4 linked regions of the Oreochromis niloticus genome follow. The protein of the gene in region 3 interacts with the protein of the main gene of each other region in a pairwise test. Links are inferred from orthologs where the notes say so. Each region holds a gene or a part of one and is shown on either strand. Other genes may lie near its edges. The genes, in order: ptcd2, CAP-Gly domain-containing linker protein 4, trim32 and ubiquitin-conjugating enzyme E2 variant 1.

Region 1 (7,540 bases), about 4.2 Mb from region 3:
CCAAACGAGCCTTACAAATAAACCTGTCCCCGTTTCTGATTTCTTGGTAGCTAACGATAGTCCTGAGTCATATGCATTAACTGTCAAATGACTCAGCATTAAAGATGGCAACCTACCTTTTCACAACAGTGTTGCTTTGTGCCTTCACATAATAATTCATTAGTCTGAGAGTTTGCACAGGTACTGTGAATTTATTTTAAACACATTTAACATAAAATATTAAAGTGTTCTTTATTGAAGATGGCATAGGCTCTGTCAATGATGCTGATGTAGTAGAAAAATAAACTTTCCTCTTGGCAATTTTGCTTCTTTAGGTGCAATGCTATGGGCTGTTGTATCTGCATTGGCGAGGACAAGCACGTTTTAATAGGCTGCTGTTCAGGGCCCTTAAATATCATATGAGTGCTTTTATAGCATCAAAGTCAACTCTGGGAAATGTCAGAGTGTTTAAATGGCCCACTCTGGCCTCACTCTGACAGTAAAGTGGACTGTAGAGGCTTTAGAGTTCTCCGGCTAGTTCTCCTCTCCAGTCCTATTGGCGCTGGTTTCCTCTTCCCTGTGGGCGTGCGACACAGCATGTCATCGAGCGTCTGCTGAGTCACCTGACCGTCTCTTTCAAGTTGAGTCACTACCTGCTCCATTTTTATCATGTGTGGCCTGCCCTGACTCCGCAAACGTAGCAAATCCACCTGAAAGGGATGACACCAAGTCAACTCTCGGGCAGATGATTTTTCTCTGAAGCTTGAATCAACAATGTGAGTAACATTTCCTCAGAGTAGCTCAGATTAATAATAACAGCACAAGGATACATCAAAATTCCTTTGGAATAGATTTTTCCAATGTTTATCGCAGAAAAAAAAAAGTGTAGAACTTTAAATGCACCACTCATCTTGTACATAAGCATTTACACTAACAACAGTTATGTAACCCTAACCAATCTCCTGGCAGCTGTGCTAGTTTTAAGTAGCTGTAGCTGTGTTTCACTTACCACCTCCTGAGAAAACTCTGGCTTTTTTACAAAAGATGGACTTTCTGGCAACATGGCTGCAGAAAGTATAGAAATAGCCTCTGCCAACGCTCCAGACATTGTTAATATTAGTACCTAAAGAACAAACAAATTACACAGAATGACAGGAAGAACTAATGCAAGAAGTAATGCACATTACATTTTACATGCTGCACCTTTACCTTAAAATTTTGGCATAATCTGCTGTCGGTGCTCATAATTTGTGAAAATAATGACTGAGCCTTTTCTAGGTCACCCTGGAAAACACACACACAGAAAATAAAATAAATGATGCTTTAAATATGTGCTACATCTCTCTTCAAGCATAAGAGGTACTGAATGTAAAACTCACTCTTCGAAGTGCTAGTGCTACAGCGAAGCAGTAAGTATGCCTCGGGATGAACTGCCCTCTGGTCTGTTCCTCTTCTATGAGCGCGATGCAGATCCGGTAGGTCTCTGCCGTATTCTGACCAACACAAAAACAGGGCATCAGTCCAAATATAAGAATAAATAAGGTTGTAATGTTAAATGAAAATAAAAGATTAAAATATCTGAAACATTACCAGCTTATAGCAGGTACCAGCTGCTAACGTGAGAGTGTCTTTGTTGAATGGTATGCCTTGGCTCCTCATGGTTCTTAGAACCTCCAAAGCATCTGCAATAGTTAAAAGTTTGCATTATTATATAAATATCATAATCACTGTGGGAGAAACCCCCCCCCCCCAAAAAAAAAAACCACAGGAGAGTTAACCTGTCACTTACTTTCAAAGGAGCCTTTCATGAACAACATGTCTATCGCTATATTAAAGGAGGTGGTGTCGTGGAAAAATCCTTTCATGCTCTGTTCAGACAGGACAAAATAAAATGTTATTAGTCAAACACTGAAGTATATGCCCAGTCTAGTTATTGTTGTAAAACTGAAGTCTGGATGTTGTACAGTTCACCTTATCCGTGATTGTAGCAAAAGCCATGCTCTCCAGACCCAACTCATAGCACAGTCTCATGAAGAGAGGACCAAATTTGAAGTCTCCATACAACAAGTTACGGTTCTCTGTGTGATACCTTATGAGAGCAAGCCAGCAATGGGTGAGTGAGGTTTGGCTGGGTTGTTTTTTGGTCATTAACAAAAATCCCTGTAAGTGAATGCTGCACGCTTACCTGTAGATGGCATCTCTGGCTATCTGCATGTCATCTGCTGACTGGCACAGGTGAAGGAGAAGCTTCAACTCATCCCGCAATATCAGCTCATTCCTTTGCAGCTTCTGACTGAATAGGTTAATATAATTCCCTGTAAAGTTAGGTTTACACAAAAAGTAAGTTTTATACGACATAAATTTGCAGAACTGTGCCAGTGACAAGAATAACTACTTCACCTTCCGATCCACTGACATGGTGAGCCACTGCCAGCTTCCTTTGCTGGAAGTCTTGTAGCTTGATAACATCTTCCGACAACAGATGCCTTTTAGCTGTAGGGTGGTTAAAATGCGTGGTTGAATCCATAATCAGTTACCACTACATGGCAATTATATACGGGCAAAAATAACAACTATACGAGAAGAAAGCCCTCACGAGTCCCTGTGATAAGGTAGCCTTGCATAGAATAACTTGCACAATACTCACATAGCCAAAGAGAACAACAGTGGCAACAGTTAAGCTTTTAAATCCAAATTCTGGTGGACTTTATTTCAAGTTCAGTATCCCCATTAGCAGCTGTACCTTGCTTTAATTCACGTGTGCCTGCTTTACAGGGTGCTAGCTGCCCCCGCTATGCAAACCACGCAGTTTTCATACTACCTTTTAAAGAGTGACAACATTTGTTGGCGACTTTTGTTTGTCTTACCTCCTATGCAGCCTTCAATCCAGCCTATCTGTAAAACACCGTAAAAAACTCCTTTAGAGGGCTCATATAATAACGACCGACAACATTTACCAAGTCTGCCCAGCGCCATATCTCCCACAGGCTGTACCATGGCAATGAAATCAAAGGGGATGTTATTGGTAATAATAAAGCAAGGTTTTAAATTAAAAAAAACAAAACAATTTCCGCCCTGGGAATTAAGCCATATTAAAATAAAACACTTAAAAATGTCAATATTTTATTTAATCTGAAAAATATAATTAGTTATTATTTTTAATTCCGTAATGTGGTATTTCCAGTTGGTATGATCCAAAATGGCACCGCTTAATGACCCGGCTCAGTTTTTTTAAGCAGGTCGAAGGAGAACAGATTTTTCATTATACATCAGAAATAATGTGATCGTCATTTAAAACGAAGCTTTAACTATATTCTTTGAATCGTGGTTTCCAGAAAGGCCACGCGAAATTTTATTACTCAACAAAACGGCATCAAACAGGAAAATGTGTTTATCTGTTAACCAGCAGGTGGTGCTGTTGTGCTACAGAACATTTCTGGTTTGGCGTCATTGCTTGGAGCAGCTACAGTGTTTGTACTGTACCCACACAGTGAGGTATAATATACACATTTTAATAATGTAAAATGCAGGGACTAAGAAAGTCAGATATGAGCTTACACTCATATGGTATTATTCTTTGTTACTATATTGCTGTTTACTGTAATAGAATAGAATAGCTTTTTATTGTCACTGTTACAAGAACAATGAAAGGCAGTTTGGCATTTCTCCATGTGTGTGAAGTACACAATAGCGTAAGTATTTACACAATAACAGACAAATTTAAATTTACACGAGAAAGATATGTAGAAGTTATACATACACCTGCAAGTATACATGCACATACATAGATATATGTATATATACATATATGCATTGGTACATACATACACACACATATTTCCACATACACACTTACATCTATATACATACACATACATGCCATCTAACTAGCAGGTGCATTGAGAGGTGCAGTGTGATCAGTGATGTTGCACATTGAGTGTGTGTGGGGGGTGATATTACACATTGAATGGGGGGGGGGGGGGTGCTGTTCCAACTGTACTAAATAAGGTTATAATAAATACAGTTTAAAGAGGCAGGGGTGTTGGTTGCATTGAAGTATAAATAGAAATACGATTTATAAATAAGGTGTAATGTCCATGAGTGTTGGCAGTGCAGTTATCCTCCAATCAGGGTGGAGGTAGGGCATGTTTGACAGCCTGTGGGTAAAAACTTCTGTTGAGTCTGTTTGTCTTTGACCTGATGGACCTGTAACGTTTACCAGAGGGAAGGGGGGAAAAGTGAGTGTCCAGGGTGCGGGGGGTCTTTGATGATGATGCTGGCTTTCTGCTGATGTCTGCCTGTATAGATGTCTCTGAGGGGGGTTAGTGAAGTGCCGATTGCACGCTCTGCTGCCCTCACCACCCGCTGCAGTTTCCACTTATCCTCCGCGGTGCAGCAGTTGAACCAGAGTGTGCAGCAGTAAGTCAGAAGGCTCTCGATGGTGGAGCGGTAGAAGTTTACTAGCAGTCTTTGGGGTAATATTTGTTATTGAACAAACAATGCATTTATATTTATATTTAAGTCATTTCCGGGCCTGTTTGACATTTACAGTGCTAAGATAAATTCACCTCCTCTGAAAAATGTTTTCTTCTGTTTCAAGCTATCATTTCAGATCCCCTTGTCACTTTGGGCTCCTCTATGTCTATATTTTTAAAAGGTGAATCAAAAACTAACACAATGTTCTCTAATGAGCAAACACCTATATCACGCCAAATCATATTTTGCACTTATAATAAGACAAGATAAGATAAGATAATACAATTTGTGTAATAGATCCATAATTTACATTATAAAATCCAAAATCAATCCAAAATTGTATGCCAATTTCATGTCATACAGAAAAAAAAGACAATATGGGCTATGAATGAATTCCTATAATTACTTTAAAGGAACATTACTTTAACATGCAGTAAGTGCCAAACTCTGCTGCTAGTTAGTGTACCTATTGACCCGCATGGTATTACATAATCATGCCTTTGCATGCGTTTTTTTTTTTTATCTTGGTCATGGCAGGGTTGTAAGAAAAATGTCAAAAATGTTAAAATTCAGACAGACTACTACAGTAAAAGAAAAATATACAAATTGTTTATTAGCAGCAAAGCAATTCCTAAATGGAACACAGTATGCAGCAGTTTTTCCACTGTCTTTTTTCTCATTTCCTACAGGTTTGAATGTTTAGGTGGTTTCTCCCTGAAGGCAGTGGGCAGCCATAGATGAAGCAATTTTTCAGTCTGAAACCATTTCGCAAAGCAGTGTAAGTTTAAAGTTTTGAAAAATTCATTCCTATAATTAAGGTATTTTCTTAAATGAACTCCTAAGATGGATAGTCTTGCACAGAGAAAATAGGGCTGGGACTGGGAGGATCCCCCACAGTTGCCTTGGCAACATGAACTCAGCCCATCCAGCTCAGATTGCTTGCTCAGCCAATCAGACACGGGGCCTTGGATAATTTATGGTTTCCTGCAAGGTGCATGTGTCTCTATGGGTTTCTCCTTCTCTCCCTCTCCTTCTCTCCCTCTTTCTGTTTTTATAACAGCATATGGCTGTTTTCACATACTTTAAAACCTGTGTTGCTTATCTATAGCCACAGGGTGAGTGATCAGTGTGATGGCAGCTTGTGCAAAGTTGCTGGAATGATGCAATAATCGACAGGGAGCACAGCACTGTTTGTAGGGGTTCTATTTTAGCACTCAGACTCTGATTTCCCTTGACAAATGGCCAGGTTCAGCTGACAGATCACAGCACTTACATCTTCTTTGATTTATCCCTGCGTGCACTTCCCTTTAGTTTTGGAAATTGCCTGGGGTGCCCCATCATCATTAATAAATGTCCCCACTGAGACAGTTTTGGAACAGAAAAAAAAAGAAAAACAGCTGGCAATGATTACTGTGAGAGACTGGTTGTGTTAGACGTATAAAGCCACAGTTAAACAGCTTTTCTTCATCTGTAGAATACCTTATGATTACACTGATTGCAGGCTGATCTTAAGGGCGCATGGCTGTGCTTAGAGTTTGAAGAAACAGTAGGGATTCTCCCTTATTTGCATAACTTATAAATTAGTAGGTTTAAGGAAATATGCATACATTAAAAAAGAAAAAAGGCTTTCAGTTTACTAGAGTGCTGTATATTAGCTAAAAGCCCTGAAAGCTTGGCTTGCAAGCTCAGTGTTCACTTGCTCTGAGACATCAAACATATGAAGCTGTGGTCTCCCACTGCACAACAAAATGACTCTGAATGGTGAAGATGTTTCCTATCAACTTGATCTGCTGTGTTCCTTCTTGGTGATCTGTTCTTTCTCAGCCAGTACCTCTGGGGCATCAGATCTGAAAGGCTCTTGTGTTTAGTTCATGCTGCATCTCCTTTCTACCTTTTACTTTTTCATTTTCCATATTCTTGTGACACATTTCTTGTTCTCTGTGTAGCTATCAATCTATCCATATATTTTTGTTTTTATCTTTAAATCCGCTGTGGGCCACACACCGTTTAATTTCCTTCACTTTTTCTTTGGAGTGGCATTGGTTTGTTAGCATCTGTTTAAGTATCTTCCAACAAACAACAAAGCATATGCATATTATGCATTAATTATGTAATTCATGTTTTTGTATTGCTTCGCTGGAAATGAGATGCCAATGTCAGAATAACTAGAATGCATTTCAGACAATTTTACACTAACGTTATACTTTTTTATCCATCAAAAACTTTTACTGTGCACAATTAGTTAATTAGTTTTTAAGTACATATTTCTTTTACAGTTTGACAGATTCTCATTAATTATGCATGTATTGTTTCAACAAAGTGATCGATCAAAAGTAGCTAATGACTTGTATCTTCAAGCCTTTTGGTCACGGCTGTGCTTTGAGCTGAATAATACCAATGCTAATCCACAAAATGTATGGGCTAACCATGCTCATTTTTTTTATTTGGCACATTAGCATGATAATGTTTACTAATTGGTAACAAACATCTAACACAACTTTGGAAAAATATGACATGTGACGGTAAGAAAAACTAGCATAATTCATTTTGAATGTAATAAAATGTCATGTAGATTAATCTGGTCATCAAATCATATCAGTAATACAAAAAAAAAGCATGAAAATATGAAGTATAGAATCTATTGGCAGTATATAAACCAAAGCTTAAAACACATTTACAAGATTATATTAATACCCCTACAGATTGTATTAAAGCACTCACTCTTAGTTATTTTAGCCTCATCACATCCCCTTAGACTACCTAAATGGAGCTTCCAGTCCACTCTGTAAATCTCTGTGGGAACATAAATCTCTCCTCAATTCTGACTTTCAGGGACATTTGTTGGCAAGGAGGCTAAACGAAGTAATTTCCCTTCGGCCACAATTTCACTTTACAGCCAACAATCCCTGCCACATGACTGAAAATGAACAGATAGTGTCGAGGAGTTTCTATGTAGCCAGTGACAGATTTCTAATTATAGATATAGTACCAACAGATACAAATACAGGTGCTCTTAGTTTGGTTGGCTAAACCAAGGCATACTGGGCATTTGATTTAAAAATAAATAGAGATCACTGTATAAAGT
Region 2 (7,872 bases), on a different chromosome or scaffold from region 3:
CAGCTGCACTTACTGAGGTATACAGAATAATGTTCAGCAGTAGAGTGGTCACATAAATTAACACACACATACGTCAGAGTAGATGTCTGTTTATTTCTACCCTGCAGCTGAGAGTGCTTATTCACCACCTCTGTCAATACTTACCAATGCCTGGGGCTCCGGCCTTGCAGCAGTAGTGCAGGAGGCTCATATCTGTCAGACCGTCTCGATCATTCACAGCACAGCCTCTCTTTAGGATCTGTGCAAAGAAAAGATATGCAGTATGTGCCACTAAGGACTTGGTGTTGGCGTGCAGAAATCTTCCATAACAGGTTAAAATGAAATTAGGGGGAAATTGTGTGATGAATGACAAGTAATTCAAGGCTTTCATAACTCTACTCATCTTTAAATCTGGACAACAGGTGTTACGTAAACTGACATTGAAACAAGGTATTTATTTCTCAAGGGTGATAGTTACTCAGAGAAAATGATCGCCTTCTTTTACCCTTGAGATGAGTGCTTCTCTGCACAGTTTACTGCAATGCAGCTACTTTGTGTAACACGGGCAGAAGGGATTTGGTGTGTATCTGAACAGAGTCCATAACAATGAAAAAAAATAAATCAGAACTTATATTAATCTGAAGTCCTCTGAAGTTTCAGTTGATTATATTATGACAAAAATAAAAGCATTACAGCTACAGAAGGGACCGCTGTGAAATTCCGCAGCAGCTGGACATTTTTTAATGTCACCTCATTGCCGATGAGGTCAATGTTCTTCTGAACCTGGGGCACCCACTGCCTGAGGACAGCAAACAGCTCTGGTATGGTGGTGCTGGGATCCAACAGAACCTCCCTGCATTGCGGCTCACTGGGGTCAAAGAAGGAGAACTCTGGAAGCAATGAAGAGGAACGAAAGTGACACATGTTAAGTATAATGAGGAGTGGGACCGGAAATATTTCTCTCCCGTGTACAGACATGAAGAGAGCATGTGTGAAACTCTGCAGCACAGACGTTTATTGCAGACGTTTCTGCAACTGACTGTTCAATCGATTCAGCAAATTACTAATCTTGGGAAATGCCCTTGCTGCCCTTGCAGAGGCAAATGAAAACAGATGTGACAGTAGATGGCATGCCGTGAACCAAATGAGGCATTAGATGACCCGGCTGGGGCTGAAGGTAAATGGCTTTCACTGTGAAAGGCCAAAAGTTAACACTAACTGTAGTCGGCTAAGTCCGTAAGTATTTGGGCATGAAATTTTTCATAATTTTATCTCTGTACGCAACTACAGCAAATCTGAAATGAAATACTTTGATTAAAGATTCAACTTTAAGAGGGTCTTGGGGAAAAAAGGCATTAAACATATAAAAATTAGACTGTAAATTACATCACTCAACTTAGAAGTAATTGAACAGTCAAGTGTTACTTGACTTCTGTTCACCTCAAAAACCTAGCACCAAATCAACACAGTAATTTCTTAAAGAAATCAAACTTTCTTAAAATGCAGAGTCAGTACCAACTTTTAAAAAAAATTGTGACCACATCCAAGTATTTAAGGACATTAAAGCAAATCAGCATCAAACCTGCTGAAATGGCTTTACGATTAATTAGGTAATTCAAGATATAGACGATAACAGTCACAACGTTCTTGTTTAAAAATAAATCACTACAAAAGAACAATGTCAAAGTGTAACTAACATATCCAGCTACATTATTAGAACCCAGAGACTCTCTATCACCATCATCGCTCTGTGTCAATTTAAGCCATCAACCTTTCTTCAGTCTCATATCTTGTGGCATTTCACAGCCTGTCGATGCTGCAAAGAGAAAGCGTTAACTAGCCTGAAATGTCACATAGCTGCACAGTGAGAGCGTGAATACTCACCACAGTCACTGGGCATGGGTGCAGAGGCCACCTGGTGGATCACTGGCCGCTGATGAGAAGAGAGTCTAGCGCGGCAGCCCAGGACCGTGTCGCCTTCAACAGGCTCTGAAACATCCTCCTTTGTCATCTCCCCCTCAGGGCCTGCGGCTGGAACAATATTAGAAAGCCTATTCTGAGAACACAAGTAGGTCTAATCTCTCAATAAAAGCACACAGGCTAGCTACAGCGATGTTTTCATTTGATCTGGCAGTGCAATACAGGGAAATGTAACTTGTATGCACAGAACTAACATAATATAAAAAACATGGTATTTTAATCTGTGGTGTCGCCTGAAGAATATAGGGGGAAGGCGCATTCAAGCTATCACCCCAACAAGACAGGGCTTTTCAAAGAATGTCAGCATTTGACTCATAGCACCTTTGAGAGATTCCTTTGCCAGCAGATTAGAAAACAAAGAAAGGTTTTTGGTGAACACACCAAACTACGAGCCTAATCTCAAAAAAGTGACACTGTAATGCGGACACAGGAAGCTTTCACAAAGGAACCTTGGAGGCTGAACTAGAAGCATACACACACACCCACACACAGGTGTAAGCCTGGGAAAGCAACATTGAGCCTAAAATCTTCCCAACCAACCCTCACTCACTGTCATCTTCTCCTTTATCCTCTTTCTTGTTGATCTCCATGTGAGCCTCCCAGTCGTGCTAAGCTAAAATCAAAAGACACAGACTGGGTCCAGTAGAACATCTAACCAAAATCCTTCCCAAAATAACTCCAAAGCTCATTGACTGCCCCCCTCCTCAATCTCCAATAACACCCCCACTCTCTCTGATTATACCCTGTTGATCCCCTGACTCCCAGGTCCAGCAGCTATTTACAGCCTGTACACTTTCAAGCCAAGGAGCTTGTATATCTGACTCTCCCGGCTGGAATGTCACTCTCACTTTCCAGTCCTGTGAACCTCTGACCTCACTGACATAGAGTAGCCAAGCGTAACCCCTAGTGGAGGGAATGTGGCCTGTAGGCTGATAGCGCAAACAAACAGGAGGGAAGTGGTGGCTTTGATTAGAAGGCCTGTCGTTCACCACAAAGCCCAGTATCCATTTCCCCCGGACAGCAAACATCAGCCCTACTGAAGCAACCATAGGACAGACACAGAATACCTATCAGCCCCAGAGAGAGGGTAGCTGACTCTACACCCTGACCTCCATCCATTTGGTGTAAAGGAGAAAAAAAACCTCACTGTCACAATAGGGTTGTATTATCAAATAAAAGCAATTTCTTAAAAAAAAAGTATTTGAGCAAATTTGCAAGATATTTGTAGAAATATTTCAAGAAAAAAACTCATATTTCATAAGAAAAGGGGCTTAATAATATTAACCACTCTATTCTCTTTAAGTGCTTAACCGAACCACGATATTTGATAAGTGGACCCGCATTTGCTCCAGAAGAGCCCTGAAACTGAAGCGCCCTTTTTTTGATTAGCTTGTGGCACTTCACTTCACAGTCTGATTTTCCAACAGCATGCTGAGGTGAAGGTCTGACAAAAGACTAATTATTTTTCAGGAAGTTTGAAAACTTTAGCCTCAACTTTCCGAGTCACAAAGATGCTTTCTTTTAACCTGGATGAATTACACATAACTGAAACAATGTACTAACAAGCAAATTCAGATAACTCATATCAAGACAGGAGTCATCAATGTTCTCTGTTATCCCAGGCTTCTGCTTCAGCCTCTGAGAGTGCTCAAACATTTATAAAAAAAGGGCGTTTGATGTGTCATTTCACCCATCTTCTGCACAAAGTTGACAGATCAAGTGCTACCTACTTCAGTCAAAAAGTATCAGAGGAACAGGGGATAGAAGTCAGTAAAAAAAAATAAAAAATATAACATCTAACATCTAAAAATTCTCTAACATGCACTTTAGCGCAGTCAGATCTAAGTAAAATTAATTTTACTGATTGAATTTTGTAGTATTTTATTCACAGCAGTGTGAAGCAGACTTGGCAGTACCAGAAGACTCAACAGGTTTCATGTATAACACGTTTTTCTTCAGAACAGAATTAGTATTCCTATTAAGGTGAAAACTAAAACAATCAATGAAATTGTGGCACTCACAGACTATTTTAAAAAGAAATAAATGTGTTTTATACATACAACCTGTTGATTTGCATTTTTACATTACCATTAAAGGAAGCTGTGACGTTAGAGCAACACAAACTGTGTGCTTCAAATAGTCAGCAGGTGATGCAGAAAATTAATAAGTGTGTCTATGGAGCAATGTCACACTCATTTAATGTTTAAAAAAACTTGAGAAATAATAAATAAATAAAAGCCTGTAGTGAGTGCTAACATTCGTGTATTAACTCAAAAGAATAAATTATTTTCTGCAGAATTACTCGCTTGCCATATTTGCAAAACCAATGTTGCTTTTTATCATTTTCTTTTTTTGATGATCATTTCTTTAGTCTTTTTTTATTACATAGAATTGCTCGGACTCAAGTGGGTAGCACTTAAATGGCCCATTTTGTGCAAAAGAAGAGTGAAATGGCAAATTAATTACTCTATTTTTGTGAGCATTCACTGAGACTGAGTCAGAAAGTCTGGGTTACAGAAAAAACTGAAATTATCTTTGACCAAGAATTTAGGATTTACCAAGCTAATGCAAAGAAAGCAATGACCTTTCTTAACAGCACACCTCTCAGGAGAGTGAATGTGCATGTTTGAAGAGAAAGAGAGTGTCTGCCATCAACATGTAACTGTTGATAATTTCTTCTCCATTTCTGTAATTTCATTGTTGCAAACAGAACATTTGTATATAGATGTATGCTTTAGCAGTGACTGTAATTTCCATAGTTCATGCTAATAAAGAGTGAGATGAAAAACTACTACCAACCTCTCTGAGGTCACTGACTGGCTGTGTAGAGATTAGGTCTTTGCAGTATGACTTGAGACAATGGCCTACTTCTAGAATAAGCCTCTTCTTGTTTGCCTGACCTACATGATGTCACCATTCCCACAGCTACCGAAGAGACAGCACTCGCATATTTTTGATGACTGTGGCCATTTAAGCACCCATTGGCAAGCTACCCATTCTGGCTGACTGTAATGTATGTTGATCTTTTTAAGTTCCATGCTATATCTAGAAAACTATTTGAATTACATCATTAAGCTCATAATGACTATAACGTCAGGAGCATGGAGCTTCAAAAAACACCCTGAATTTTCTTGAAAATTGATAGCATTTCGTGCACTAGCATATTTGAAGGCCATAAGTAGAAAGAATAATTTTACAGCTAGGATGTTGAAATTGAAATAAAAATTATATGTATGTGTATTTTTATTGAGATATTCCACACACAAAAAATGGCATCAATAAATTTAATTGGATTTTTCTATAAAGATTAAATGTTTAGTGGTAACAACATATCCAAAACGTTTGTTCACAGGCAGCATCCTTGACCTCCATCCATCCTATGCGCCTCATGCACCAGGCCAAATCATGAACTATTACCCCCTGCATTTGTTTGCTGATGTGAGGTGGGGTGCGTGGATTAGCTTGATTATGCAAGATAGAGGTTCCTGTTACTCTAATCGGAAGCAGGTATGCACTCAAACAACAATAAAGCCATTAAAAGTTATATTTTAGACAGGAATACTTTAAGTCCTAAATGACCACACTCGGTCGCTTGAGCTTTAATCAGCTTGAGAAAAGTTATGCAACTTATTATCTAACATCCAATTATTGGAGAGATGGCTTATTTGTGGTTGTTTATACCAGTTTGTGTGACTTAAGTGTGGCTGATTCATTTATATCCCCCAAATCGTTAGCCAACTTCACAGTCGAAGAGGCCATCCCCCTAGCAGTAGACACTCCCTCCTCATCTCATACTTTTGTAGCCCTTCAGCAGAGGTAAATATAGCATGTCATCTTTTCAAACGTCCACACGTTGATTTAATTAATTTCCAAATAACTTTGTCAGCTAAAAGTGTTTTTAATCGGGCTACAAGCTGACAGTAACAGTTAGCTTGCTAGCATATGTTCAAAAACCGGCTCGGGCTTAGCGACAGATGAAGCACACCTTATATAACTAACACTGCAGACATTGCTCAGTCCCTATAAGCAGCTAGCAGTCCCTGCTTTCACCGTGCAGACGTGAAAGTTACTCAGAGCCCTCCTCTCAGTCACCTTAGCTCCCTGACGTTAATGTTCCCCAACACGAACACTGGGCCAAAAACATCTGAGCTACTTACAATGCACTTAGCGAGCAGAGAGAGACACAAGCATCATGTTAGGCTGCTTAATATTAGCGTTACCTTCACCTCCCTGCTTGTTTTGATCCGCCCATGGGGAAAATGTCAGGTAGCGGATTTAATTTCCGTCCATTCTAATTGGATGTTGCACAGCTGAAATACTTCCTGTTTCAACATCTAGGCTTCAGAATAAAGGCGGTTAATGTAAACTTCCGGTTTTTAAAATAAAAGTATTACAACGACCCATAAAAATAAAATAAGAAATAAATACAACTAAATAACTTTTGAATTGTTTTTGAAAATTAAAAAAACCCGAAAGACAATAAAAGAAACTAACCTGCAATATCTTGACATCATTTGCTTCATGTAAACATATAAACATGCCATTAAAGACACATGTTCATTTTATGTATTTATTATTCATTTATTTATTGAATGAATAAATGTTAAATTTATTCTTTTCTGGTTTGAGCAACAATCCACTAATAAAGTTAGGGGTTTTTTTTCTGCCATCCAGTTACATAATATAAAGTGGCAAACCTACAAAAAGGCATTATTTTAGCTGGCCTGAAAGTTCCTTCAATTCTGGGATTGTTTGCCACATACTAATGAAAATAATCAACAGCTGAATACCAGAACCTGCTGAAGGAAAATACCTCGAAATACATAAATTGCACTGTACTATTTTGGTTACAGAAATTTTGAATTTTGTTTTTCTGTTTTTGTTGGGCAAGAAACTGTAGGCGAGTCGACAAAAGAGAAAAGACTGTATATTACTTTATGATTACTTTATGTAATTAAAATAGCACTGTTTAAACCCAGTGCTTTAGTTTCTTATGGAAGCACTTTCATGACTGTTAAGTCCATTTCATGTTTTCATTACAGAATTCATAATTGCTCAACTAAAATAAATGCTCTGTTCCGCTGTATAGGAAAAGGATACCCATTTTGTTGATGCACTGCTTTATTCTGAAGCACCCAACCTCCGAATACAACAAACCTCTTACTTTTAAAAAGAAAAAGTAAGCTGCCACAAAGATGGATGGTGCAAGAGGTCACTTTTCAGTCTAATGCCTCTCTTATCATTGGCGGTCACAGTGTGGGAAGTTGTGTCTGAACATCTTTCTTTTCAGGAGAAGGTAATTTCTCAGGGTGACACTTTTCCTCCAATGTCCATTCAGACTGACAAGCCACTTTTAGTGAAGATTCAGGTGCTGGTGTTTATTGAACCTGAAGAGCACTCTGCATGTGTTGCTGCCTCTGTCATGAAATAAAGAAGAGGACCAAATTGCAGACTGCTGAGACGGACTTGGAATAAACAAAAAGCAAGCCTTTCGTGTGGCTGTTGTAGATCCAGAGCATAAAATAGGAAAGGGCAAAAACAAAAGAGACCACTGCAGGGGAAACACGCCAGGAGAAACCAAGGCTGGAACACAGTATGACGAGCAACCTGAGGCTTCAAATACACACAGGAAACGTAAAGGAAACAAGACACAGCTGAACTCACTTGGAAGTAACACTAAAAAGATACTTAAACTACAGGTTGATGAGATGAGAACACAAGAACACAATGGTTTTTAATTTGTGTTTATTTTTTTCTGTGTTGATGGTCATACCAACTCTTTAAAGTATAGAATTATGGGAAAAACCGACTATAAGCACAATATGAATGTATAGTGAGGCAACATTACTGCAGATTTTTAAACAGGCTAGTCTTGATTTGATTTACTTTAGAGTACTGGTTCTCAATGGGAAG
Region 3 (7,893 bases):
TGCTGAATGCTTTATAAGGGTAAAGCATGAGCTAAACTTCTCTGTATATATGCATGCACATGTCTTAGGTGGACGTTACCTGAAATCTTGTTTACTCACACTGAGAAGACAAAGTTGTCAAAACTTAGGTATCAAAAAGATAAAAGTGCTGAATGACCAAACAGAGAAAATATGGTCTAATATTTAGCCAGACCCCATTAGTAAATTTGCTTATGGAAAGGAAACGTGATATGATTAACTTTCTCTGCAAAAAGATCCAAAGACATCTCAAATGGGATGAATCATAGAGCAGCACGTGGCAATTAAGCTGATATTACATTCGGCTGTATATACTTGTTTAGACACGGGCGCGCATATCCCACACATATACACATCGACTTCCCCACAAGAGAAAACCATGATGTCATCCTTTTTAGTCCCTCTGTATTACAATATTCGTTTCCAGCAGTCAAAGTCAACCAACCAATGCCACCTAGAGTTGAATTCTTATAACTGCATCAGTTAAACGCTTCAGACGACAACAAATATGTACAGTTAGAAAGTTTGATTACATCACCATTAACTGAATGCCCAGTGGTGCAGTATTTAGCTGCCAGCTTGTCAGCACAAACCACCAGCAGTGTAAAGATGTGAAGACAGATGTGCATATCTATCTATCTATCTATCTATCTATCTATCTATCTATCTATTGCGCTATTAATGATAAAATTGAGCATTTCATTAAAAAAAAAAAAACATCTGATGTTTCAATAAAGTTGTGAAAGTTTATTCCTGTATGCGGATTGCTTTTGCTTTGAGTAGCATCACACCTCTTAATTAGGTTGACAGTTCACATTCTCATCTGTCCCTTTTCCCTTTGCACACATGCATGTGCAAGTAAGCTGGCACACAGACACAGAGCTTCCTATACTCCCACGCTGCTTTCTCACCTCTTTGGTGATGTTGTCTTGGACCAAGCTGTAAAGGGGCACGACGCGGCTGACTTCCAGCAGAACAGGGATGGGGGAAGGCTGTTCACCAGTCCTGCCGTTACCACTGCGGCCTCTTCCCGATACTCCGCCCATCATGGCCTGGTGATGGCATAGGTGGCAGCCAGCTGGACAGCTGCCCTTTTCTTCGCAGCGGATCTCCACGCCATTCACCATGTCATCAGATAAAAGCTGGCTCTTCTGCAGCGCCGACAGGTAGCTGATGAAGGGAAGTGACTTCAGCTCACGACGCCCACCTCCACCAATACCCTGCTCTGTTGCCTCTGGAGGGGTTTTCGGGGGAGAAAGGGGTGTTATATGGGGCATTGGTCAAAGGAAGGAGATAAACAATTAAGCGCAAGATTGATTTACTTTAAATGATTGATGCCACAGTGTCAGATTCTTTCATTTTTTGTATGTACGCTTTCATAATTATAAAGACAATCCCCTTTTTCTTAACTCTGTTTGCTTGGAAAAGAAGAAGATTAGTTGCATAGAATATCACCATCTGGATTTACTTGAAAGAAAAAAAACAAAAAACCTAATCCCTTACGACCATCAGCTGTCATAGACAAAAGAGGAATGGCTAGGGGATACAAGAAGGGGGGAGGGGATGTGCCTGGTTTCTTCTCATAAGTGTCAATTACCACTTTTTGATGTCCTCACTGGAGTTTGGGGAGATTCTTTTTCATCATTTCCTCCTTAACCAGGAAAATAACACACCCCATGGAAAGAAGAGGAAGTGAAAGAAACAGGGGAGGAGAGAGATTGCTAATCGGGTGTTGAGTGATTGATTTGGAGGACACAGCAAGCCACATGTTTCAGTGGAGCACATCTGCCATCTGTGCTGATGTGGCAGATGTGCTTTTGTTTCCGTTTACTTTCCAAAGAAATGCGAGTTTTCCAACTAAGTGATAATATATTTTTTCTAAAACAATAAAAAAGAGTGCACCAAAGCTTCTTTCATGATATAACAATTAAATATAATGCACTGTCTCGCTGTGTAACAAACTGTGGAGAAAACACAATGAGAAATATGCAAAATCAGACGCATATTACTGAAAACAAATCAGTTTTTATCAGCGTAAATTAAAAGATCAGCCTCTACACATGTACAAAAACAGCAGTGTGCAAAATCCTGCTCTATACTCACACTTACTTCCTCTTCATTGCATGTTCAGTTAGGCCAATTAGCTTATTAAGAATTAGCTTTGCAGAAATTAAAACTGCAGGCATCAAATAACAAATTTACAGCATGCAATGCATAAAAGAAGATAGCAGGTATCTTATAAAAAATGGGAAATATTTATCTGCAAATACAAAACAAACATTTTCTAACTATTCTAATTTGCATTACATTTATGTGGCATTTCCATGATCGTTTCAATTAAAAATCGAGGTAAGTAAAAATTTGACAACAAAGTTGTTGCAACAATTAAGTGTCTTATCCAAAAAGAATACTGGGTTTAGACAAATATACCAGAGTGGATTCTTCCAGGATAATATTAAAAAGTGGCTCTAAAATAACCATCTGTGCTCAATGTTTAGTTATTAAATCTAAGCTGTATTTCATGTCAGGTAGCCATTACTTGTTCCGTAAGTCTGTGTGTCAAAGAAAACTTTGTGTGTCTTTGTGACTTATTCCCTGTGTCCACCTAGATGACACTTTAAAGGTGGGTGGTAACTTCATTTGAAACACAATGCAAACAGGCTCAATGGGTGGCCCATGAGCCCAATTACACTCACTTCACAAGGAAGCACAGACAATGAAAAGAGATGTTGTCAACCAGCTCCCACAATAAATCCCATATCACCTAAGCATTGTGCACCTATGTCTGTGAGCCTGCTTATTTGTGCTGTATAAAGTACACTCCACACACATTTAGGGAAATTACCCCAAAATCGCAGTTTAAGGAGTGACCCAGCTTGTTGCCTCTTTAGCTGTGACAGCTCTTTACTGTGTGGAATAGATGTGATGCTTGTGCAAGACTTGCCTGTCACCAAAACACTGTAAAGAGATAAATGTGGTGAGGTTACTTGCTATTAATCTTGATCTGTCTTTGTTAATTAAAATCTCTTTGTAGACTGGTTGCATCATAATTAAGTCAACAGGGACCCATCCCCTTTGGCCAGAGTGATGTTGCCCACGCAACAACAGCAACAGAGTCAGGTATCTTTCTAAGGCAATTAGATACAGATACACTCACTATGAGTGGATGATGTTATTTCTTTAGTAAGACAACTGTAACAGGTCCATACTAACTAGTGATTTTAACAGGTCCCTGCTTTAAGTACAGATCTTGTGAATTATATACATTTCTTTTAACTAATATAGTGAAAAAAGTGCAGCACAACAATTACGGCTCTGATGATAGTAGGCTAAAAGAAATATTAAGTATATCTTAGGATATATCTTAAAGTGGGCCATTTTTAGATAGTCCTGTTAAAGTAAATTACATCATCAGCTCCAACATTAAAGCCACGAGCTCAGTGTTGCAACTCTGCAGCTGACACAACAGCTCTCACCCACTGGGGCACTGACATGGGAGTTTTCAGCAGTGTGGTGTGATGTCTAGCACCAGACACTGGCAGCTAATCTGATGGGTCCTATGGGTTGTGGGGTGGGGCCTCCTCCAGGCTTGTTCCTGCATATCCCATTGATGTTTGACTGGTATCAGGAGAGTTTGCAGACCAGGTCAAAATCACAGACTCATGTTGCCTTAGCTGGTCGGCATTTCTGCAGAATAGGTGGGACATGACCTATGGGGCAAGCCAGTGCTGTTTTGTCTGCAACAATGGTGGCACATGTCAGAGTAATCCACATGAATGCCGGGACCCAGAACATTGTGCTGTAACTGGGTTACCAGTGGTATTCACTTCACCTGTCAGTGGTTTTAATTTTGTAGCTGATATCTGTATCGTGTGAACATTCTAAGTAGACCTATTCTGACATCAAGTGGTCACTCTGTGTAATTACTGCCTTCTTTTAAAAACAAAGCTTGTGAACACTGCTTCAGGTATGCTATGGGAGAATAGTTTTCTCAGCTACAAGTTTGGTTACTTGGTTACAAGTTAACCAGTTATCTAACTTAAAAGGGGATAGCTTTAATGGAGAAGGATATTCTGCTAAAATGACATTGCAATAATTTTATTGTGTTTATTGCATTTTACTGTTGAATTAACAAGTTGCTGGGAGGACACATATGGTTCTCAGGTCTTTTGGAGTGAAGGGCCCACTCCTGAAGACCTTCTATGACTCTGTGGTGGCCTCAGCCATCTTTTATGGTGTGGTCTGCTGGGGTGGCAACATCTCTGCCGGGGACAGGAAGAGACTGAACAGGCTGATCCGCAGCGCCAGCTCTGTTCTAGGATGCCCTCTGGACCTAGTGAAAGTGGTGAGTATATATTATTTTATTTTATTCTATTGGATATAGTATTTTATTTTATTCTACTCTATTCTGTACAGTTGTGTACAGTATCTTATTCTTATTCTATTCAAGTGTTCTCTAATTTTGCTATATAACTTTGCACTGTCCACTTTCTGATGTAACAAAACAAATTTCCCACGTGTGGGACTAATAAAGGTTATCTTATCTTATCTTATCTTATCTTATCTTATCTTATTTTATGAATGCATCTAATTGCATTTATATCACACCTAAACATGCAATGCTTACTCTTGCTTTTTGCCTCTGTGTTTATTCACTGCATATACCAATCTTACCAAATCAATAGAATTTTGTATAAAAAACAAACAAACATTTGGTATAGAGTTGCATTCCTTTTGGGAATTTCTGAGGTCATCCAAGTCACTAGGTGGCGCTGTCATGAAAAACACAGCTCTAGTAACCCTGAAAAACTGCACTCTCCGTTTACTAAACGGCAGCCAATCAAAACAACCGTAGGGCTCGCCTCTGTGCGTATTGCGTAACATCCCGGTTGTGTGTACGTGACGTCGTCAGCACTGCAGTCTTTACTAGCAGCTGCATAGCAGAAAGATACAGAACGCCCCACAACAGCGCTGCACTTTCAACCAGCAAAACAGTGAAGTGAAGGTAATGTTTCAAAGCAGAAATGCCTCGAGAGACTCTTACGATGAGTCGCCTTTCTTACGTTTGAATGCACGCCCTTCAAAGTCAGTACTGTCGTTGAATAACACTGCTGTTTATGTGCAGGGCTAAGGGCATTTGTCGTATTGTGGTGAGGCCTACGGTTTACTTTTCGTTTGTAAGTCTGGACTGCAGTGTCAACCTACTGTAAAACAACAAGTTAGCATTATTTTGGTGTAGGTTATAACCTAGTACTCCCGTTTGTCATTAGCATGACACGGTGTGTCTCTTAGCTTGCTGATACACGCCATCACTCACCATATGTCGGTTTTCAGTAGCTCCTCGTCATTGAACTGTGTCTACCTAACCGTTAATGTTGATCTAATCTGCTCTGTTATCTAGCATCTTCCTTAAACTTGACCTGGCAAATAAGCGTGGCTGCATCCTGTGTTTATTTTTTGAATATCTGTTAGTTTCGTCTGCTTCTGTGTTACACAGTGTGGCACAGTGTTACAGAACTTTTCATTTCTTCCATTTAAGGTGAGGACCACAATGGCAGCTGCTCTTGACCCAGATCTAATGAGGGAGGTTCTCGAATGCCCTATCTGCCTGGAAACCTACAACCAGGAACAAATGAGACCCAAGCTCCTGCAGTGTGGTCACACAGTGTGCCGGCAGTGTCTGGAGAAGCTGTTGGCCAATACTATCAATGGTGTCCGCTGCCCCTTTTGTAGCAAGGTCTCCCGTATGAGCAGCATCTCCCAGTTGGCCGACAATCTCACTGTGCTCAAGATTCTCGATTGCACTATGTCCTGCAGTGCTGCCGCCGCCGCCCTAATGTGCAAATCCTGCTGCAATCGCCTGCCGCGACAGTACTGTCATGATTGTGCCTCGGTTCTCTGTGAGCTCTGCAAAGGAGAGGGCCACCTGCATGAAGGACATTCAGTCCAGCCGATAAGGGTGGCTGCTGAACAGCGTCGTAAGGACCTGGGTGGTAAACTGGAGGCTCTCCGTGATGTTATAGGAGAAATTCAGAAGAAAAAGACAGTAATTGAAAACATTTCCAAGTCCTTGAGACTAAAGTACCGAACAATACAGCAGGACTACACTACAGCTGAGCTACGTCTTCAAGAGGAGCTCAGCAGGTCTCGAAGGACATTCAGGACTTCCATGGCAGAAGTAGAAAAGCTCAATGCGCAGGTCCTGGAGGAGCAGACGTATCTTCTTAACATTGCAGAGGTCAAAGTGGTGTCACGCTGTGATTATCTGACAATGCGAGCAAGACAAAGTGACATTGCCCTGCTAAAAGATGATGGCGGAGACAGTGATGACGAGGAACTGGATCTGAGGAGCAGTTTACCCACAACCTTTCAACTGCAACAGCCAGAGCTGATCAGAACAGAGCAGTCTAAACCTCTAGAAGTGGGCCAGCTGACCACAAGAACTTACACTATCAATACAGATGATGAGGAGAGTGGGTTAGAAATTGCACTTGAAAGTGATGTAGAGGGGGCGGGAGCTACAGGAGGTGAAGTGGTGGCTCCAGTGGATCTTTACCGAGACATTGACATGGTTGCAGCTGTGGAGGAGGCAGTGTGTGGTTCTCCAAGCAGCTTTAAATCAAAGTCTATGGATGCAGGAGGAGGTTCACCTGGAACGGCGCGGGCAAGTTCAGGGCCCCCAGTCTGCCAGTTTGTGAAGAAGATGGGCTCCAAGGGAACTCTACCTGGGAGTTTCAATCTGCCTGTCAGCATCTGTGTGACCCCTCAAGGTGAGGTACTGGTGGCTGATCGTGGGAACTTCCGTATCCAGATTTTTAATCGCAAAGGCTTCCAACGTGAAATTCGGCGCAGCGCTAGTAGCATTGACAACTTTGTCCTGAGCTTCCTGGGGGCTGATTTGCCTAACCTCATCCCCTTATCTATTGCTGTGACTGCACAAGGCTTGATTGGTGTCACTGACAACTATGATAACTCAGTTAAAGTTTACACCATGGATGGACACTGTGTGGCCTGCCACAAGAACCAACTGATTAAACCCTGGGGTATTACTGCCATGCCATCAGGCCAGTTTGTGGTGTCAGATGTCGAAGGTGGCAAGCTGTGGTGTATAGCGGTGGACCGCAACGTAGGTGTGGTCAGCTACAACAGACTATGCTCTGCTGTACGGCCAAAGTTTGTGACATGTGATGCAGCTGGAACGGTTTATTTTACCCAGGGCTTGGCCCTGAACTTTGAGAAACGCCAGAATGAGCCCCACCTGGAGGGTGGCTTTTCCATTGGCTCGGTGGGTACTGATGGCCAGCTTGGCAAACAACTCAGCCATTTCTTCTCGGAGACGGAAGACTTCCGCTGTATCACTGGCATGTGTGTGGATTCCAATGGAGATTTGCTGGTTACAGACAGTGGCAGGAAAGAAATCCTCCAGTTTCCAAAAGAAGGTGGATACAATATTTTAATCCAGGAAGGGCTGACCTGTCCTGTGGGAGTGGCCACTACCCAGAAAGGACAGCTGCTAGTGCTGGATTGTTGGGACCACTGTGTTAAAGTCTACACATACATTCAGAGGAGGCATTCCTCTACTTCTTAGAAGAACAACAAAGTGTAATTGCACATGAGCATCAGAGTAAGTCTTGAAGTAAAGAAGTTTGGAAAAGGAAGAAACATACTCTTATTTAACACTCTTTAATTTAGCTGCAGTCCAGTCAGTTCTCACTGTAGCTCTCATTTGGGTTATTAAATCAGTAGTTCAGTCAATTCAATTCAGGTTCAGGTTATAGTCTACTGGGTTTTATCTTGAGTAACTCAAGTTGAATCCGTTTCTTATAATGCAGGGATGTCAATCTCATTTTACATTGTGGGCCACATACACGTACA
Region 4 (7,586 bases), on a different chromosome or scaffold from region 3:
CGTAAAATAAAAGGTTTGAGTAGCAAGTGGGTGTTTACAGGTAGAGCAGTGTGCCTGAGATGACCATATTAGACAATAATCACCTCTTTCGGAGATTATACAGCATTAAAAGTGAAAAAAAAAAGTCTTAAAGTGGGTTTTTAAATAAGAATGAAGGCTGAACTGGCCCTCATCTTTTTTCCTAACTTGCATGGTGCTCATGTAAGTTAGGAAGAAAGATCCCACATTACCAATTTTTTGAGATCTTAAAAAAAAAAAAAAAACTCTTGGAAAAACCTAAAACATCTGAATAAAGATCTAGATGTACATAATGTAAATCATCTATTATTCTCTTGTTCCATGGATACAATGGCCGTCTTCTAAACATGATGATATGAACTCATAACCAGACAGAACTGCAGAGCTCGACCATTTGGGACTTTTAAGGAGTAAATAAAATCTTATATTGATATTTCAGCCAATATTCTAACAGTAAGTGAGAGTATTAAACAATAAGATGATAAGAAACATCATATATCCTGACATATCAGTGATAGGCCAGTTTAAGCTAGTTGATCAGTTGTTTATCTGACTCCACAGAGCAGATATGATGCTCCTTCCACAGAGTGCATCCAAAATGAGCCAATCATTTTAAAAATAATGATAAATAATTCACATACCACACCGTTGGAGGTGTGCACGCCATTCAAGTTTATCTTTGTCACAAATCTGACAAAAGGTGGTGATTCTGGGTATCCTGGCCCGCATTCAACCTTCAGATTGTACATCCTGTTTTCATAGCTTGTCTGTTAAACAAAGAAAGGTAGGGAGAGGTGAGAAGACAGCACACCAAACTTTGAAGAACAAAAAAAAAAAAAAATTGGTACACAATGTTCACTATGTGCAACAACATCATGTGAAAACTAAGGCAGGAAATACCCTTGTAGGGTTTTTTTCTCCTGACTCACAAAGGCCCTGGGGAGAGTTTAAAGAGTCTGCGGTACCTTGTTTTTACACAAATCTGTGCCTTTTGCTTTAATCTAATCAACAAAAATGTCTGCTAGAATTAACATAACTGCTAATTTTATTACAATTTTTGGCTCTGGCCAAAACATTTGGTGGTATGCCAAAATTTTTTTATGCTCCCTGCATACAGGCTGTAACTGTGACAGCACTGCTGCAGTTTTACCCAGTCGCACAGTAAATGAATACACTGTAGAGGAAGACAAACTGGCTGACCCAGCTGCAGTCTGACATACGGTAATGTCCATGGTCCTGTGAAAGAGGTCCTCAAAGGACTGCAGTCATTAATTTAAAAACAACATTTTTAAATAACAGTCTCATATAGGTCATTTCAACTTTACAGCTTAGCACTGAGCAATTTTTAAAGTATTTATAAATACCTATAATTACAAACTAACTAAAAAGATACTGGGACATCTGTCAACAATTAAAAACAACATTATGCTGCAAACTTGTGCGATAATTGGTCTTTAGTCAGGAGTTTAATTGTGCTTCTGCTTCACATTTATTCTGTTTTAATTCAAAAACAATCATTCGAAGGATTGCAAAGTAGTGTTAGTGCCTCGATGTTTTCCTCTTCTTCAAGTGGACGACCTGACTTGCTCCCCGACATCATGCGATGCACAAATCAAACCTGACACCTTTGGTTTAAGTAACTGTTAATCTTTTGGCTTGGTCAACACTCCCCTGCTCCTGCAAAGTACTCATCCAGGTGTTAAAAATGGCACCACTAACCCTTGGGGGGCCAAGGATCACCCCTCTCCATCGTGTTAAGGTCATGTCCTCATCATCCTCCAAGCCCCAGCTCACCGTTCCATCTCCCACACCTTTCTGACCTTCCTCCAGCTCTTCCAGGAGCCGGAAATTGCGAGGAACTTTAACGCCTGTTTGTGGGCAAACACACAGCCATTCAGTCATGCAAACTTCCAGAGCCACAGGTAGATTTATGAAGCTAAATAAAACTGCCAGCAGTGTGCCAGACAAAATGACTTGCAGTTATGAAGTTATGACTCAATAAGACCGAAAAAAAATAAGGGACGCCTCAGCTTTGCAGCCTGCGTGAGCCTTTTGATAAGAGCAGGTGTTATTTTCACGTCCTGTGAGACTTGAGCATCTGGCTCCGGCGGTGCCGCATCACTTGGCCTCCGCAGTAAGATACGACGAGGCTGCACCCTTAAGAGAGCCATCCAAACAAACCCAGTCACACTGCCAGCTGCTGCAGCAATTCAGCTCAGCTCACCGGCGTCTCCAGAGAAGCTCAGTGAAGCTCAGCGCAGGTCATGTTTCCCTCATGAGCTCTCGGAAAACGTACAGTCACTGTTTACGTTTAACAGCCGGGCAGGAAGACCGTCTTACTGCGGGATGCACCCGCATTTCTTGATGACATTTAAGTAACGCTACACACCCGGTTTGCAACACATCGCGCCTGTAAATAATCTGATGTCGCAAACAGGCTGTCATTATCCGGTGGGGTGGCGGTGCTGTGGTTTGACAACAGGATGCTGTAATTTAAGCAGCATCCTAAATTAAACTATTAAAATTAAAATGTATAAATGAATACACAAATACATAAACAAGTTGCAATGTCTCATATTTGCTGATGGCTGGCGAGTAACGGCTCCACGCCCATAAAACAGCACTGAAGTGAGACCTGCTGTCCTTTTATCTAACTTAAGATAGCTTAGCTACTAGCATCGCTTCCTATTCATTCTCCTCAGCTTTGTTTTAGCTTCTATGTAATAACACAACATAGCACAGCGTCTGAATGCAGAATCAATCTAATCATAAAACCTAACAGGCACGCGGTAAAAATTCATTGACAACACTGTTCAAAAATAGCTTTTCGCAGTGATTAATACGTCTCAACCGTTTTACCTGATCCGGCGGCGACCGCCATCTTGTCGCTACACAGCGGGAGCGAGCACGCACTTTTACCATTGTAGCCAGCGGTGCGTGCGCGAGCAAGAAGACAGCAACGGCGCTTCCTTTGTTGCTTTAAGCAAACTGATTAGCTATGTGGCTGTATAAAACGGAACTGTTATTATTATTAGTAGTAGTAGTAGTAGTAGTAGTATTGCTGTTGTTGTTGTTGTTATTATTATTGTTGTTGTTGTTGTTGTTGTTGTCGTCAGAGTAGCAGATTAATTTACAGATAATCTAACCTGGCATACTTTCCAAGGCAGGTCACTATATTAAATGATTTAATTCTGTCAGAGCATCAAAAAATGTTGTGCTTATTTTAATAGTCATTTCATTAAAGAGAGATATTATTAACTGCCCTTTTGCTCCAGGGGTTTTTAAATCAGCCAGTTCTAAAGGCACGAGTATTTGTCCAGAATTTTGTCTTTACGGTATATCTTTCAATCATCTTTCTTCAAATGTAGCATGTAATTCTCTCCTAGTTCTATTCACATTGCATGATAAATCAGTATACATGTAATTTAGGTCCGAGTTTTGTGCTTCTGCAGAAATTGTGGAAATCCAGCAAGACTGAGGAGGAGGATGGGCCTCTGGTCATTCATCAGCATGTGCATCTACTTTTAGGTAGGTAGGGTAGGTATAGGTATCATGCATGTGCATCTACATCTACTGATGTGAAACCATTTTACAGCACCCTCAGCTCCATGGGGAATGAAAAATTAAGGTATTTCTGAAGGCTAAGGCCACAATTAAACACAATTAAAATAACAAAGATGGGGGAGCGTCAATATATTAGAAGAAAAAGATTGCTGTGAGAGATTAAAGAATGAAACCCTTAATTAGCAAGGATAGATTAAAGCATGCCAAGTTTGATTAGGTCATTCACTGACTGACTGCAGGCTTATTACATAGCAAGTAAGCTGTGGAGTCCAGTGTCAAAAGGTTGACCTAAGCTTGCAAATTAAAGGAAGAGATGTTCTTGACTCAGAAACAGTATTTCTCTGTGTGAAAACGCCCTGTGATGTCAGAGGTTAGAGGAGAATGGCCAGGTTGCTTTGAGCTGATAGGAAACTAAGTCAAACAACCGCTTGATACAACCAACCCACAACACGTCAAACTTTGAAGCAGAAAATACTCCAGGTGCCACTCCTGTCAGCTAAGAACAGGAAACTGTGGCTACAATTCACACGGGCTCACCAAAACTAGAAAACAGAAGAATGGAAAAAGAATTTGCCTGATCTAGTGTCTTGATTTCCTGCTGTCACATTCAAATGGCAGGGTCAGAATTTGGTAGAAACGGCTTTCAAGCATGAAAGCATGGATCCATTCGGCCTTGTCTCAACACTTCAGACTTGTGATGTTTATGTAATGGTGTGACGAATATTTTCTTGGTACCCTTTGGACCCTTTAGAGCCAAATGAGCATCTTTAAAATACCACAGTCTGCCTCATTATTGTTGCTAACCATGTCCTTCCCTTTTTGACCACATTGTACCTATCATCTGATGTCGGTTTTCCAGCAGTATAAAGCACAAAGCTCACAATATCTCAAACTGGTTTCTTGAACATGACAGTGAGTTCACTGTTCTCAAATGGCTTCAACAGACACCAGATCTCACAGAGAGTACCTTTGGGATGTGGTGGAACATCATGGATATGCAGCCAACAAACCTACAGCAACTGTGTGACGCTGTTATGTCAGTATCAGCTGTTACGAAAATCTGAAATAAAACAAGTTATCTCTGTGAGATCTTAATTTGCCTTGGCAAAGTTCTCAGAAAACAGTACAGAGTACAGCAGCTGTCCAGTGTCATCACATCCCCCCCTTTTGATCATTTATTGATCACAAGTATTCATAGGGCAGCGCAGTGGTTAGCACTGTTACCTCACAGCAAGAAGGTCCTGAGTTTGACTCCACAGCAGCCTGTCTGTGTGGAGTCTGAATGCAGCTGGGTTAACTGATGATTCTAAATTGTCCATAGGTGTGAGTGTGAATGGTTGTCTGTCTCTCTGTGTTAGCTCTGCGATACACTGGCGACCTGTCCAGAGTGTACCCTGTCATCAATTAACCCAGCCTAACTGACATGACAGCATCACACAGTTGCTGTAGGTTTGTTGGCTGCATATTGTGAGATTATTATACTGTTTTATGCCACCTTACACTTCTAATCAAAGAACTGTTGAATCATTATACGGCTATAGGCCACATTATGCCTTGGATTAAAGACTGTGAAATCATTACACTGTTTTATGATGCATTATACTGCTGAGTTATAAGAAATGCTGTTTGTGTCGAATCATGGCTTTCCTTTTCTGATTACAAAGAGAACAGAACATATTGTAGAGGTTTTCTGCCCCATCTCATCAGGAGATAAAACAGGAAGCCAAGGTCGTCACTTAGGCGCTGTAAGAGAGAAAGAATGTGAATGCTTAGTGCGAGAGATTGTTGGTTGAGCATTTATACACCGAGTGTTGTTCTTCCTTCAGCCCAAAGATCAAAGAATTGGGATATCAAACAATATCCATGATGTTCCACCACATCCCAAAGGTACTCTCTGTGAGATCTGGTGTCTGTGGAAGCCATTTGAGAACAGTGAACTCATTGTCATTTTCTAGAAACCAGTTTGAGATATTGTGAGCTTTGTGCTTTATACTGCTGGAAAACCAACATGAGATGATGGATACAATGTGGTCATGAAGGGAAGGACATGGTTAGCAACAATAATGAGGCAGACTGTGGTATTTTAAAGATGCCAATTTGGCTCTAAAGGGTCCAAAGGGTACCAAGAAAATATTCGTCACACCATTACATAAACATCACAAGTCTGAAGTGTTGAGACAAGGCAGAATGGATCCATGCTTTCATGCTTGAAAGCTGTTTCTACCAAATTCTGACCCTGCCATTTGAATGTGACAGCAGGAAATCAAGACACTAGATCAGGCACATTCTTTTTCCATTCTTCTGTTTTCCAGTTTTGGTGAGTCTGTGTGAACTGTAGCCACAGTTTCCTGATCTTAACTGACAGTAGTGGCACCTGGAGTAGTTTCTGCTTCAAAGTTTGACGTGTTGTGCGTTGGTTGTATAAAGCGGTTGTTTGACTTAGTTTCCTACCAGCTCAAAGCAGTCTGGCCACTCTCCTCTAACCTCTGAGATAACAGGGCATTTTCACACAGAGAATTGCAGCTCTGCAAAGATATTCTCTCTTTTTCAGATGGTTCTCCGTGACCTCTCGAGATGGTTGTGCAGGAAAATCCCAGTAGATCAGCAGTTTCTGAAATACTCAGCCCATCAGGCATCAGCATTTAAATCACCTTTCTTTTCCATTTTGGTGCTTGGTTTGAACTTCAGCACATGTCTACACACTTAAATAGATTTGTCTTTGTACCATGTGATTGGTTAATATTTGCATTAACAAGCAGCAGAACAGGTGTCCCTAATGAAATGACTGCTGAATGCTTTTGTTATTGTGGATTCTCCTCAATATGGTGTAGTCGAACTGAGTGCGGAATAATTTGTCTGTTCTGCTTGAACAGGATTAACTGAATAAGTAAATTTAAAGTGTTTGTTTTATTTGGAATAAACAGAAGCCTGGAATGTAACATGACAGCTGCATCTGTGAGAAGCACATCGATTAGCAGTAAATGTGTCGAGGGCCAGGCTCCGGGTACAGACAGGGTCATTAATTATTAATACGCTTTTCATAGTGGATGTTTTAACCACTGACACAAGTACCTGTAGTAGCAGCAGAAGACCATCAGATGCTGGCGATTACTGTACCTTTTCTGCAAAAAGCTATGGTGAAAAAGTCTTTACTTAGGCAAATATAAACACAATCAAGCAGGTTATTTTACCCTTTAATGCTAAAGTGTATCATGTTTGATATGTGAGTTTTTGCGAGTTTTAGAGACTTCTATATCATCGGTGTGATTTTTTTCCCCATGTAAAAAACTAAATAAATTGCACTATACATTTTAAAGAATAAATTGCAAAAAGATTTGCTAATATAATTCAAATTAAAACTTGTATATGCAAATTAGCTTTTTAAAATTTCATCACAAGGTTAAAAAAAATAGAATTATGTATGAGAAGGTGGTGTTCTGTGTACCCTGTGAAATCGTCACCTAAATTCCTAAAACAGATTAAATTATACACTTTTTAATAATAATAATAATAATAATGATAATAATAATGATGATAACAGAAAGAAAGAGAAACACAGAAATATGTTTATTAGTTTATTTATAAATACAGTATATTATTTACACTGTAAGTCCTCCAACTGGAAGACAACAAAAAGGCATCAAGGCATTAATCTGATATCTAGAACTCCATCCCCACCACCGGTGTACATAACCAACAACAACAACAACATCCACATGGACCTTACCTCAGAAGAAGCAAGAGTCAAATGAAGAGCAATTTAAAGTCAGTCAATAAACTCTTTTCCCACATTGTTGGCAAGAGGATAAGGCGATTCAATAAAGTCCGAGGAGAGATTCTAACTGCCCATCTCACTTACTAACATCTTCATTTGCTCTCACTAAATTTTTCAGGTGTGAAAAAAAAATACTTAATTGACCACATACTGTCGCAAAACACCGTTCAAATCCACTGAAAGTTCACTGTCTCTAAGCGGAAAATCCAAATACAGCTCGATCACAAAT

What was found.
Region 1: the proteins of trim32 (region 3) and ptcd2 interact in binary tests that used the Homo sapiens proteins (3 or more experiments, as listed by UniProt). The two-hybrid records come from large-scale screens. The link is inferred for Oreochromis niloticus from reciprocal best matches to the Homo sapiens genes TRIM32 and PTCD2.
Region 2: the proteins of trim32 (region 3) and CAP-Gly domain-containing linker protein 4 interact in binary tests that used the Homo sapiens proteins (3 or more experiments, as listed by UniProt). The two-hybrid records come from large-scale screens. The link is inferred for Oreochromis niloticus from reciprocal best matches to the Homo sapiens genes TRIM32 and CLIP4.
Region 4: the proteins of trim32 (region 3) and ubiquitin-conjugating enzyme E2 variant 1 interact in binary tests that used the Homo sapiens proteins (3 or more experiments, as listed by UniProt). The link is inferred for Oreochromis niloticus from reciprocal best matches to the Homo sapiens genes TRIM32 and UBE2V1.

Annotation. Positions count from the first base shown.
Region 1 is NC_031972.2:15,726,712-15,734,251, reverse strand, and holds the start of ptcd2 (pentatricopeptide repeat-containing protein 2, mitochondrial), read right to left. Parts: upstream 3,006-7,540; 5' UTR 2,977-3,005; coding exon 2,847-2,976; intron 2,473-2,846; coding exon 2,380-2,472; intron 2,295-2,379; coding exon 2,165-2,294; intron 2,069-2,164; coding exon 1,951-2,068; intron 1,848-1,950; coding exon 1,769-1,847; intron 1,662-1,768; coding exon 1,570-1,661; intron 1,473-1,569; coding exon 1,359-1,472; intron 1,264-1,358; coding exon 1,189-1,263; intron 1,103-1,188; coding exon 989-1,102; intron 690-988; coding exon 468-689; 3' UTR 1-467. UniProt on the Homo sapiens protein: Involved in mitochondrial RNA maturation and mitochondrial respiratory chain function.
Region 2 is NC_031983.2:24,619,698-24,627,569, forward strand, and holds the start of CAP-Gly domain-containing linker protein 4, read right to left. Parts: upstream 3,018-7,872; 5' UTR 2,550-3,017; coding exon 2,510-2,549; intron 2,011-2,509; coding exon 1,864-2,010; intron 870-1,863; coding exon 730-869; intron 239-729; coding exon 145-238; intron 1-144.
Region 3 is NC_031972.2:19,941,852-19,949,744, reverse strand, and holds the start of trim32 (E3 ubiquitin-protein ligase TRIM32), read left to right. Parts: upstream 1-4,876; 5' UTR 4,877-5,023; intron 5,024-5,557; 5' UTR 5,558-5,569; coding exon 5,570-7,606; 3' UTR 7,607-7,893. Other genes in the region: astn2 (astrotactin-2), read right to left, coding at 930-1,252. UniProt on the Homo sapiens protein: E3 ubiquitin ligase that plays a role in various biological processes including neural stem cell differentiation, innate immunity, inflammatory resonse and autophagy.
Region 4 is NC_031984.2:9,991,353-9,998,938, forward strand, and holds the start of ubiquitin-conjugating enzyme E2 variant 1, read right to left. Parts: upstream 3,007-7,586; 5' UTR 2,900-3,006; coding exon 2,878-2,899; intron 1,887-2,877; coding exon 1,738-1,886; intron 786-1,737; coding exon 660-785; intron 1-659. UniProt on the Homo sapiens protein: Has no ubiquitin ligase activity on its own. The UBE2V1-UBE2N heterodimer catalyzes the synthesis of non-canonical poly-ubiquitin chains that are linked through Lys-63.